Linked DNA regions of Drosophila melanogaster. Changing the gene in region 1 together with any one later gene gives a genetic interaction. Each region holds a gene or a part of one and is shown on either strand. Other genes may lie near its edges. The genes, in order: DCTN2-p50 and Rab5.

Region 1 (4,060 bases):
CCTCGCTAGCGATGCCTTCTATGATGCCGCTGCTTGTCAAGTTATCGCAGTTTGAGATGTCCAGACTTTTGAGACACTTTAGCTTGGCCAAGTGGATGGCACCAGCATTTGTAATGCTCAGGCAGCCGTTCACCTTCAAGTGCTCCAGCTGCGGATTAGTTTGTACCAAGGCGGCCAGATTTTCATCGTTAACACACATTGTGGCCGACAAATCGAGGGCACACAACTGGGGCTGTGTGGCTAGAAAGTTCAGGATTGTGGTGCAGTTAAGCTGTCTGCATCCGGCCAAATAGAGGCGCTGCAGTTGGAGATTGAGGTCGCAAAGGGCCAACAAAGCCTGGCCAATTAGGGTGTGGCTAAAGTTCAACACGCGCAACGTACGTCGCTGCAGGTTCAGAATGGTGAGGATGAACTTGAACGTGAGCACAGACTCGCTGGGCAAAACGTGATCCGAGGAGCTGGTGGCAGGGTAAAATCTGCGATGAATAGCATTGTGAAAGGCTATGTGACAGCCGGACATGTTAATCGCTTCCAGACTGGGCATGAACGATGTGAGACGCATAAGAATGGCATCCGTGAGGTATTGGTTCTCGCACAGCGTCAGCTCCTTGATGCCGGCCAGATTGCTTGCCAGGTCGTTTAGGTCAGGACAGGAGTTGTTGTAAGAGTCCAGGAAAGAGCCGGACATGAACAGCGGCAGACAGCGCTTCAGCGACAGCGAGTGGAGATGGGGCAGCACGCCCAGCATGCCGTAGAACTGTTTGTCATTCAAATCCACATTGTCCAGAGCCAGGGACTGAGCGGTCCTGCCCATGAAGCGCATCAATTCCTTTACTTGTCCCAGTGTCACGTCCTCGAACAGGAAGTGCTGGAAACGCCGCTCGCAGCGCATCAGATCCACTCCAGGACTCAATTGATCCGATAGCACCACCTTGGAGAAGCAGACTCGCGTGCGCTGGTTAAATTCCGCCTGATCCAGCGCCGCATGCCATCGCTGGCAGGTGGATCCTGCCGCTTGTAAGTCCGAGTAGCCGAGATAGCTGAAAATCTTCAAAACAATCTGGGGGCGGAACAGAAAAAAACAAAATCAGCTGACTGCCCTAACAGGTATATGAATATGCAGATATAGATACGCTCGAAATGATGGATTGGTCACGGGACCGCGGCAGTCCGTTCACATTATATGCTCACCTCCAGCGGCAGATCATCGTATCTATGCAACCCGTACTCTAAGCCAGACATTACTCTATTGTTTTCGGATGCAAAATATTAAGATTAGTACAACCAACTAGCAGCTCCCACCGCCCACTCGCTTCGCCCGCAAACTACACGAAAACTACAGTGTTGACTAACTTAGTACCTGTGCTAGGTACAGTAGGACCGTGCCTTTTTTCTATCCTCACTGGTCTATAAAATACCAGAAGAAAAGTGTACCTTCATTGATTTACCAATTGGAAGTCGATCATGGAATTATTTACCTATTGCTTATGAATGATTTTAAATGTATATCGTTTTTCCTAAAATCAAAATAGGTTTAAATTAGCACAAAAAGCTTTAATTTATTTTTATAAATGTTTGCATCTATGAATCCAGTTAACAAAGTACAATGTGCAAGTACAATTTATTTATATCGATGATATATTTTGCAATACTATTTACTCTTAGCTTATTAGCCGTTACAAGTAATAACTGTCTTTTTTAAATGACTTTTTAGATACCTCTGTTTATAAATACTCCAATGACAACTGCACTTTGGCATTTGTTTGGTAACCGCGCACGGTAACTTTTTTTATGACATCAGATCGAATTGATTGTTGTAAAAAAGGATTTTTGAAGGTTTATAATTATTTCGTTGCCAAAGGATTCCAAACACCGCCGTCGACGTGCCCACAATAATGGCCGATCCCAAGTTCCAGAACCTACCGGGAATAGTAAGTCGGAACTCCGCACCATGGCAGTGACGTTTAAGCTTTCGTTTTTGCCCATTTATACATATATGTACTTTATGTTTTTAGGCTTATGACCAGCCGGACGTGTACGAAACTCCAGATGACCCGGAGCTCGATACATCCGACTACTACGAAGAGGAGCCGGAGAACGAAGCCATCGAGCGACTGCACATCTCGCCGAGCGTCGCTCACAAGCGCTTCAGCGGAGCAACGGTCGAGGGGAGTGTGGACTTCACGGATCGCATTGGACGACGCATGTGCCGGGGTTACGATACGCGCGGCTCCAGCGACTACGAGCTGGTTGGCCAGGGCGAGAAGGAGACGCCGGTGCAGAAGTGCCAGCGCCTGCAGATCGAGATGAACGAGCTTCTGAACGAGGTGGCCGCCTTGCAGGTGGACCGCAAGGTAGCCGACGAGGAGAAGCAGTCGTACGATGCGGTGGCCACGGTTATCAGCACGGCCCGAAAGGTGCTGGAGTCGCTGAAGCTGGAGCAAGTGCTGGGCAAGGAGCAGACGCCTGGAAGTAAGCAGGTGAAAGCACTCATTAGCCAGGTGGAGGAGTTCAAGCAGTCCGGCGTTCTCACAGCCATACCCACGCCTGGCACCGATCTGGCGGCCACGGCCCGCGTAGCCAGTCTAGAGCAGCGAATCTCGCAGCTGGAGAAGGTGCTGGGCGCTCAGCCGGACAAGTTGAGCCGCCTTACCGCCGCCACCAACACCACCAATGTACTAGAGGCAGTGCGTCATCTAAGCACCAAGGCGGCCCTGATACAGCCTGATAAACTGGACACCATCGAGCAGCGCCTGACCTCGCTGGCCGGCAAGATGGATGCTATCGCCGAAAAGTCCAGCGGCAGTGCCCAGGACGCCAAACGAGATCAGAAGATTACGGAACTATACGACATCGCGAAGCGCACGGAGCCAGTGGTGGAAATACTGCCGCACGTCATCGAACGCATGCAAGCCCTCGAGGCCCTCCATAAATATGGTAAGCAATTCTATTTAGCATTTTAGCATTGTGCTTGTTTCTGTAACTAATCAACTTGCTCTGCAGCAAACAATTTCGCCAAGATCATCGCAGAGATTGAGCAGAAGCAGGGAACCATCACCACTAGCTTGGTGAACAACAAGGAGCTGCTGCATTCCGTACAGGAGACTTTCGCCCAGAATCTGGAGACTATCAACAGCAAGGTGGCCAAGGTGGAGCAGCGTGTGGCGGCCATATCGTCTGCCAAATGAGTGGATGCATACCATGCGTATTAAATAAACATAGCTTATATTTATGAAAGATACCTATAATAAAGAGATCTACATTCGAGTCCAGTTCCAGTCAAAAAATAAATGCAAAGTGATCTGGAATTTAAAATGAGTTCATAATAAATATTAATATTAAAAGTGCTGAAGCTAGTTTACGAATATAAAATGCGATGGAAAATAAATCTTTAAATAATTTCGACTATCATTTTTAATAATGTATACTGATAAAAACTATTTTTAAAATTGCACATTGAAACGGAATATTTAAATTGCATACCGTTAAACTCGCAGTATATTCTGGTCGCACGCATTTGGTATTTCAGTGCGTGCCCTGTGGTATATTACGTTGGCTCAGAGCACGGTCACACTGGCCGTTCCTACGGTTCTTAAAAATATTAACGATTCCAGTTAAATTCAAGATCAAAAAGTCTCGTTGCAGCGCAAGCGAGTACAAATTGCATTCACAATTGTGTGTAAGTTGCGCAATTAGCATAATTAAAGATACTTAAAGGCCGGCGGGCACTACTGGGCCACATCTGCAATGGGGAAGCCAATGGGAAAAGTGATGACGGGGCTTACTCCAATTGGACGTGACACAATTTCGTTCTGAACTTGTACCTCCCATAATATTTGTGTTTTTTCGCTTTATTTACACGAGCAGCACGAAGGGACATTGCAAGATGAAGATCAAGGAACTGCAAAAGACGGTGAACATCGCCTGGTCGCCGGCGCAGCAGCAGCAGATTCTCTTGGCCGCCGGCACCGCCGCCCAACAATTCGATTCCAATGCCAATTCCACTCTGGAGTTGTACTCACCGAACTTCAGCGATGCCACATACGATCTGGAGCTGAGG
Region 2 (8,160 bases), on another chromosome or scaffold:
TTGTCGATTCAAATCGAATGACCATATATGTATATACGCAGTCATATATATATATATATAAGTATATACGATGTTTTCATTTATTATAATTTATAAATTTTAAATTTAAATACATACAGACAACATAAAAATTACGAATTGGAAAGAAATATGCATCGGATCTTTGATGTTTGTGGAACGATTTAAACAAGTTGTTTACGGTATTGTGTTGTTCGATTTGTTTTATTTATTTATTTTAATTCACTTTACTTCCTCTCCGCTTAATTGCATACTAGATGTAAGTTTAATTTTTATGGATTACGATAGTATCTCCGTTCTCGTTTACGTTTAAAGATAGTAGCATTAAATCTTCGATTGTTGCTAGAATGTGGAAAATAGTTCAACGCAAGGCGAAATTGAAAAATAAAAAAATCTAAAAGTATGCATAATTGGTTTTCTTTTTTTTTTTGTGGTTTTCGTTTTCCTTCATTTTCATATGTGTATATATAATTTATATAAATTGCAACTATCACACGTGTCCGCCGCGACCCGGAGTCGAATCATCCGCGTCCGTATCCGGATCTGGAGTCCGAGCTCCGGAGCCGTAGAGACACACACATTGCCACAAACCGAGGCGAGCGAGGATCTTCAGCCGCTGGCCTGAACATTTGCTCCTTGTGGTGTTTGTTTGTTTTGTTTGTTTTATTTGGAACGCTGCTGAGAACAACTGCAACTGGAATCTGCCCCTTACTTAATGCTCAGAATCTTACACGACATGTAATCTTTACAAATATTCTTTGCTCGCTTAGTTGGTTTCGGGGTTTCTCTCTTTTTTTTATACAATACGATTTCAAACTTTCTACGACACGATGAAATCTCCAAAAACCCTGCGCTTTCTTCTCATGTTTAGTTTTCATTATTAATTTGCGTTGTTATTTGAAATGGTTTATGTTGGAATTATACTGATATTTTAGCTCAATTGCGTGAGTGTCAGTTTGCTTGTATATTTTTTGGACAGATATCGAGCGTAATGGGGGAAATCGGGTGTGGGAATTTGTAACTAACTTTCTTTAATTGCAACTTTCGTTTATGTTGGGAATGGGAGCTCCTTTGTTTAATGCTTATAATTCTTATGTGGTCTTTATCATTATTGGTTTCGTGGCTCTCAAATGAAATTCGTCCCCTGCGAGAGCCGGCTTTAGGTATTTCTTTCTGATTCTGTTGAATTTTTAAATAATTTTTTTATTTATAATTATCAGCATAAACTTTTCAAATCTCTCGTTGGAAATTTCATTTTCTGTAAAGCCAAAAAAAAACTGTGTTAGTAATGCAACCGTATTTCCAACGCAATTAACTTACCTACGAAGGGACATCACTTGCAGCAGTTGTTCGTCGGTCGATTTGTTTCGGTTCCAGTCGGCCTTATGCTGGTTCCCTGATTGTTGGCGCCATCGTTCTTAGGTAGTTTCTTGGCTGTGGTTGGGGTAGTGATTAGCAAAGTTTTCGAAGCGTTTACGACGGCTCCTTATAGCTTACCAATGGCCAAGAAGATGTCGTTCACATTCATGCCCGTCTTGGCGGAGGTTTCCATGAACAGCAGCCCGTTCTCCTCGGCATATTGCTTCGCTTCATCGAACTCTACGACGCGAATGTTTGACAAATCTGCCTTGTTGCCGGCCAGCGCAATGACAATGTTTGGTGAGGCCTGGAAAAAAGTTTTATTAATACATATTTTATGTAATATAATTTACGTATCAAGTGAACGAATTTCTCGAGTTAAGAATATTGAACTGAGGCACTTCATGAGCAATAATATAAATGATTATAATATTAAAACACTCTGCACGATATTCAAGTTTCCCCGCTGACACTCACTTGTTTATGCAGTTCCTTGACCCAGGTCTTCGCACGCTGAAAACTGTCCTGATTCTGTATATCATAGACGACAATAGCGGCCTGCGCTCCTCGATAATACATGGGAGCTAAGCTGTGGTACCTACAAAAGCGAATATAAGTATGTCAGATGAAGCTTTCAGTTGGGTGATCTATCCAGCGATACTTACCGCTCCTGGCCAGCCGTGTCCCAGATCTCGAACTTAACGACAGTGTCCTCTATGCAAATAGTCTGTGTCAGAAAGGCCGCACCTATCGTGCTCTCCTGGTACTCGTGGAACTGTCCCTTGACGAAGCGCAGCACCAGTGAGGACTTGCCCACAGCGGACTCGCCGAGGAGCACCAACTTGAATTGGCAGCTTTTGTTCTGCGAGGTGCCATTGGGCCGCTGCGCCGTTCCAGTGCCGCTGGCACCGCCGCTGCGTGGAGTGGTTGCCATGATCGGTTCGGGTTGGATCGGATGCGAATGTGGATGCGCTCTTCCTCCTCTGAGATGGCAACTGATATTTGGTTCTACGGACGGTTACTGCAACTCACTCCCTCTTCTGCTGAGTAAGTCTTTCTGCTAAGATTGCTGCTGAGTGTGGATGCGGAATCTGCAAAATACAAATAATGTACATATTTATAATGGAGACGGATAAAAACGAAATTGAGTGCTTCCAATTCTTCTGCCATAATGGTACGTTTTTAGGGCTTAAACTCAGTCCCCTTGAAAACATGCTGCCCATGTGGATGAATATAAAACCCACATAAAACCATCAGATGATTGTGTGGCGCCTTTGTTTGTTTAATGACGCCGTCGACAAGCCCAGTTCAATATGTACATATCCGAGAATATGCACAAAAAGCCGACGTTTTCCATCAGTAAATGAAACAGAGGAAAAGGGAAGCGTCTGCCAATGGTCACTGATAAATTCAATTGAAATTGAAAGCAGTACGCCCTACAAAAACTCACATTAGAGCTTATATTAGTTTATTTATATTTATATTTATAAGTGTTACACATCCGAAAACATATCATTACTATTTGTGTCACTTGGCAACATAATAGTACTGATAAGCTTGTGATAGGAAAATCAGTGAAAGCAATTGTTCCACGATTAGATGTTCAATGTTATGAGTTGTGTTTAGAAAATTCCTTGCGTGACTGCTTCAAACATCCACAAACACAAACATTCTTAATTACATGTGCAAATACAAATCCATCAACAACTAAAAATACTTTGGCAAACACAAAGGGGAAACCTTATATGCGCTTTCTAGGCGCAATTATTGTTTTTCCCTTTCTTCGTGGCAGATAAGGGGTTTACAAGTAATCGAAACTACAACATTCTTATCGGTCCCTTGTGCGGGAAATCTAAGTTATCGTAAAAGATATTTATTGCAGCTCCTCTAGGGGCTACCGCGCAATTGATAATTCACACACTTTCTGGTGGAAAATATTTCGAGGGCGGGTGAATTTGTGTACATATGTGTATAATAGTACATAACACAGAGGACGCCTCGCATTATTCAGCGGTAATGCGTGTGGCATTCACAGTATTTTTGTTATCAGTGCCACTTTTATGAATCATACGCCCCATTGGCCACTACACTTTTACCGATGTCCCACAGATACGTTGATCCCGAAACAAGATATCGTTTTAAACAGAGAGTAATCATTAAAATTGTTTAAAAATATTTACTGTTGCATATATTAACTAAGCTAAAGTCGTTTTCAAATCTTCACAAAGTATCGTTCACATGCTTTTCGTTTTTATGACCGACGACGGGAATCTCAGAATTCCGACAGAAATTAATTAACACATTGAAGCCAGACTGTACAGTGGAGATAAATCTACGAAGATCGGGGTATGGAATTCTACACGAGTCTTGTTTACTTTGTGGAGAGAAGTGAGCGCAGAGCGAAGAGAATTCACAGAGTGAGGGCGGAAGCTGTGATAAAAATCAATGCAAAATAAATTAACGGGGAGACGTGGAGAAAGTAAAAGCGTGACAAACATGTACGCTGTGCGGCGTTATTAAATTAACAAGGAATGAGGGAGAGAGCGAAATATGCAGGCCCTCTCTTTGCCATTAAAAATGCAGTCAGTCAACAATTGTTTGTTTCTCCCCCTCCCTTCCGATCATTCAATTGTTTTTTTCCCGGAGACTTTGGAGCCAAGTGCACAGTCACACACACATACAGAAGCCGACAACTTGGTCTCTCTTTTCGAAAACCGCACTCTCATTGCGATAAAGAAATTTCGCCTACAATTACTTTTCATTATCCAGCGAATGACGTATTTTGCTGTTTTTTGCGTCTAAGCCAAAACGAAAACTGCACTTTAAATTTAATTAAAACAAGCAGTGTGTCTCACTAAGCCAATGCAAAATTTTCCTTGAGAAGCGGACAGCTGTCAGTAAATAACTCACCGCTAATTTTAATTCGAACCGTAATTAATGCGGTTTATTAAACTTTAAAGTCACTTGGACAACAGGAGTGACTTTCGCGCCCGTCTGCGGAAAATTCAATAAAATATAAAACAACGTTCAGGAAATTACGGTTCTTTTAGAACAGCTGACGATGCGTCATTCACGCGACTAATACAAATGCAAGTGAATCAAAAAAGAGAATGAGAGCGAGAACAACAACCATACGTAGCCACAGCCTTTATCAATCAAATAGCTGTAATACGTGGAATTAAGTTACAAATCTTATGTTAGATTTTAAAGATATTTAATATAAATATGAAATAAAGAAGAACGTCCACATAGCTTGTGCTTAATTTTAAGCATGAATTAAGTTTTAAATCCACCTTTGGAAACTTAAAACATTTTCATTATATCAACATGGCCCTATTCACGTGAGCTTGACTGTGGAATTGCCTCACTCGAAAAGTCAACAAGTGCAATTTTCTCAGCACGCATATTTGAAGCACGTCTAGAAAACGGAGAATACAATTAGCGTTATATTTACTGTCACACCACACATCACTCCGTAAATATGTATAGCTTGACAAATGCGGGTCTTCCATTTGCAAAGCGAGCGAAAAGGTCTAGAATAAACAAATAGAAGGATGCGTTTTTGTTTACATTTGGGCTTTATAGAAACATCAGAGACAAAGACAGTTCTTTGAGAAACTTGCACGATAAGGGAACGGATTGCCGATAAATACACACACACCACACACCCACACTCTCTCTCATAACTAAAGACGCAAAACAGGCGGAACAAAGAACCGCGATTTTTGATCCGTTTTGGCGTGTAAAGCGCTGATAAATTGGGTGATAATGCGGGCCAAGATCCGATTTTGCCAGCTTTACTCCATACCAGAGTGCACCTGCAGTGTTCTTTATCTCTTCACAATTAGATTCGTGAACTATCTTAGGCCTTGCGACCCACTGTGCACGCTGCACTTGGAGCAGGTCGTACGGCCGTCTCGCTCTAGCGCCCACTCTCATGGGCAACGCACCCAAAATTCAGGGCCATCTATCGCGCTCGCTCTTACACTCGCACTATGGCGGACGGGGCGAAAAAATTTTACACAACTTTCTTAATTAATTACGAGGGGTGAGCGAAAACAACAACGCAAAAGCACTCGACTTTCCGCCGAATTACGCACTCTTCTAAACGCGGCACTTGGAGACCAGTTGACCATTTGCATTTACGTTTTTTCCTTTCAATTGTGTGCCCCAAAACAGCCCCAAGAAACGAAACGAAACGAGCGCAGAGGGAGATAGATAGCGACTGACTCGCCTCTCGCAAAATTATCGTCGCGTCGCAGGTCGTGTTTTTGTCGATTAACTTCCTGGGCGACGTCACCATTGATTTGCCAAAGATTTTTGTCTTTTTTAGCTTCCTTGCCTTGCTAATGGCTAGCGAAATTATCGCCTGGTTTATTAGTAAACTTAACTTACAACTTTCTTGGAATTTTATGTGTGACCGCAGGACGACTGTTGGAATATGCCAAACATATCCTAAGCTCTGCTCGTTAGCAGAGGCTCCAACCAACGATACATATTTCTATCGATTAGTGGGACCAACATATTACACAATATAAATAAAATTTTAATATAAACATTTCTTACCGTGAATATACAAAACATATTTCTTTGCTGCACGAGTCAACTAATGAATCGTAAAACGGGTATATTTTACATAATAATTGTCTTACTATGAATTTATGTAATCAATGAGCTTGCAGGAACCGGCTCCATTGGTGAATTTGTTTTAATTTTTCTTCTGAATTATTTCTTAGCAAATACACGCACCATCTACTAGTGAGTCACATTTATCTATCACGCTCTATCGTATACACTTTTATCAATTTTTGCCTGGTATTTTTAAGTACATTTGGATCGGTGCAGGACTGTTGTCATGTTGCAGGGGTCCAGCGACGGGCACACTGAATAGAAGAAGTAATAACATTGCGAGAAAAGAAGAAGTGAAAAATTAAGAAAAAGTTTACGGAAGTGCGAAATGAGTTTTAAAAAATAAATCATAATTTTGGGCGTTGCCAGGCGCATAGTAAAGTGATTGTGTTAATAAAAGAATACCGACCTTTGTGTCCTGATTCGCCTCCTTCACGCACACACTCGCACAGACTTGCACAAACACACGCACACAGTTGCGTCTTTCGTCATCTCTCTCGCTCTCAGTTTTTTATCGCAGCTGCAACGCAAATTGCAAAAAGGATAAATCCCACCGATCTTGCGAGTCCGGCCGTTGGCTTGGCTGCGAAAATATAAGCGCAAAGGTGGGCCCCCAAAAAAAGAAGCTAATCAATATTGATTTTGGTTAGCGGTATGTCTACTTTTCGGGTGGTCTCCTTTCTAGCGTGCGAAATTCTCGGGGATCCAGGATTTCAAAGGATTCTGCACACGCACACCCATCCAAGCACAGTGCTCATTCGAAAAAGCGAACATACAAGTGAGCGGAACATTAAAGCGAAAGATATATATTTTTAAACCATTACACGTACACAGAAAACAATTGATTTCTTGCGAGCAGTAAAATTAATACTTGAGCTAAATTAATATTTCTAAATATTTACACAAGTTGTAAAAGGTACACTCATTAGGCTTTTGGCAATTTGTTTGTTGGATCTAGGACCTGGTCAGGGGCTCTTACGAAACGTAAACAGGTGTAATTAATTTACTCAGAAATAAAGTTTCGCATTCCCGGCAGTTCTCCCTCTCGAATGGACACTGTACATACACACCTGATCTATACGTTTTCGCTACCTGCGAAGGAAATTTCCAAGCAACATTATGTAAAACCATTTCCTCCTACTTTCTTGCAGATGACCAAAGGACACTCAATGATCTAGGGACCTCGACACGGATAGCATGTTTAGTCCTATAAAAAAAATATTTACGTACATACAAAAAAATGCGAGCGGCTCCAATATGTTTAGCCCATCAGGAAACAAGGCCGCCGGCCAAAGGGAGGGGACCACCAGCCTAACTGCCCACGACGAAGGCGAAAGGAAGGATCAGCGGCATCTGGATCACAAGGATAATCAGAGCGAACCGGAGGAGCGGCAGCATCAGCTGCAAATATTTCCCCACCTGGACGATGACGACGACGACATCGAGAGGCAGATCAAAACCTCCATAATTGACGCCAGCAAGGTGCACGCAGCGAAAGCCAAGGCGTTGGCTTCCCTACCCATGCCGCTTGAGCAGCTCGATGATGAACTGGCGGACTTTGCTCACGGCCCGGCGGACACCGAACTAGAGGAGCAGTTCCTTGAGCTGGAGAACTATCCTAATAATGAGATAATCGTACTAGGCGATGCGGATCTTAACTCTTCAATAGCTTCCGACGCAGTCTCCGAGGACCCACTGGCAATTGACAACATTCTTGACTCCGCGTCGGTCACCACAAACGAGGAGGTCGACACCAGTGGAGAACTTCTTTGGCTGAAGTTGAACAATGAGACGGAAATGGCCACCAGATCAGCGGAGGTGGTGTCCAACAACCAAGCATCATTGGAGCCTGCCCAGCCAGCCAAACCGAAAGAGGATGAGCTTAGAGATGGTGGGTCTGATTCTGGTTTAGGAAGTGAAACCTCCGCGTTACTCAAGGATCAGGCGGAGAAAGAAGCCGAGCCGGAAATCCAGAAAAAGGTGGAAACGAAGCCCATAAGGTCCAACCTTAAACGGAGACTCGAAGATTCGGAAAGCGATGCTATAGATCTGGTGCCCGACATGTCTGCCCCTCCAGTAGCCCCCCAGAAGCGGACTAAGCGCTCCATCAACTTTGACGAGGTGAAGGTGTTCTACTTCCCACGACAACAGGGC

What was found.
Region 2: of DCTN2-p50 (region 1) and Rab5, changing one suppresses a phenotype caused by changing the other (phenotypic suppression), as found in Drosophila melanogaster (one study listed by BioGRID).

What each region holds. Positions count from the first base shown.
Region 1 is NT_033778.4:8,890,059-8,894,118, forward strand, and holds DCTN2-p50 (dynactin 2, p50 subunit), read left to right. Parts: upstream 1-1,773; 5' UTR 1,774-1,895; coding exon 1,896-1,931; intron 1,932-2,015; coding exon 2,016-2,937; intron 2,938-3,003; coding exon 3,004-3,188; 3' UTR 3,189-3,281; downstream 3,282-4,060. Other genes in the region: CG8272 (uncharacterized protein), read right to left, coding at 1-1,060, 1,192-1,242; Sec31 (secretory 31), read left to right, coding at 3,887-4,060. UniProt on the Drosophila melanogaster protein: Modulates cytoplasmic dynein binding to an organelle, and plays a role in prometaphase chromosome alignment and spindle organization during mitosis. May play a role in synapse formation during brain development.
Region 2 is NT_033779.5:2,359,118-2,367,277, forward strand, and holds Rab5 (Rab5), read right to left. Parts: upstream 6,157-8,160; 5' UTR 5,944-6,156; intron 5,838-5,943; exon of another isoform or gene 5,720-5,837; intron 5,605-5,719; exon of another isoform or gene 5,196-5,604; intron 4,388-5,195; exon of another isoform or gene 4,288-4,387; intron 3,665-4,287; exon of another isoform or gene 3,558-3,664; intron 2,739-3,557; exon of another isoform or gene 2,622-2,738; intron 2,469-2,621; 5' UTR 2,312-2,468; coding exon 2,043-2,311; intron 1,976-2,042; coding exon 1,855-1,975; intron 1,685-1,854; coding exon 1,516-1,684; intron 1,453-1,515; coding exon 1,352-1,452; 3' UTR 1,339-1,351; intron 1,277-1,338; 3' UTR 449-1,276; downstream 1-448. Other genes in the region: Axud1 (AXIN1 up-regulated 1), read left to right, coding at 7,204-8,160.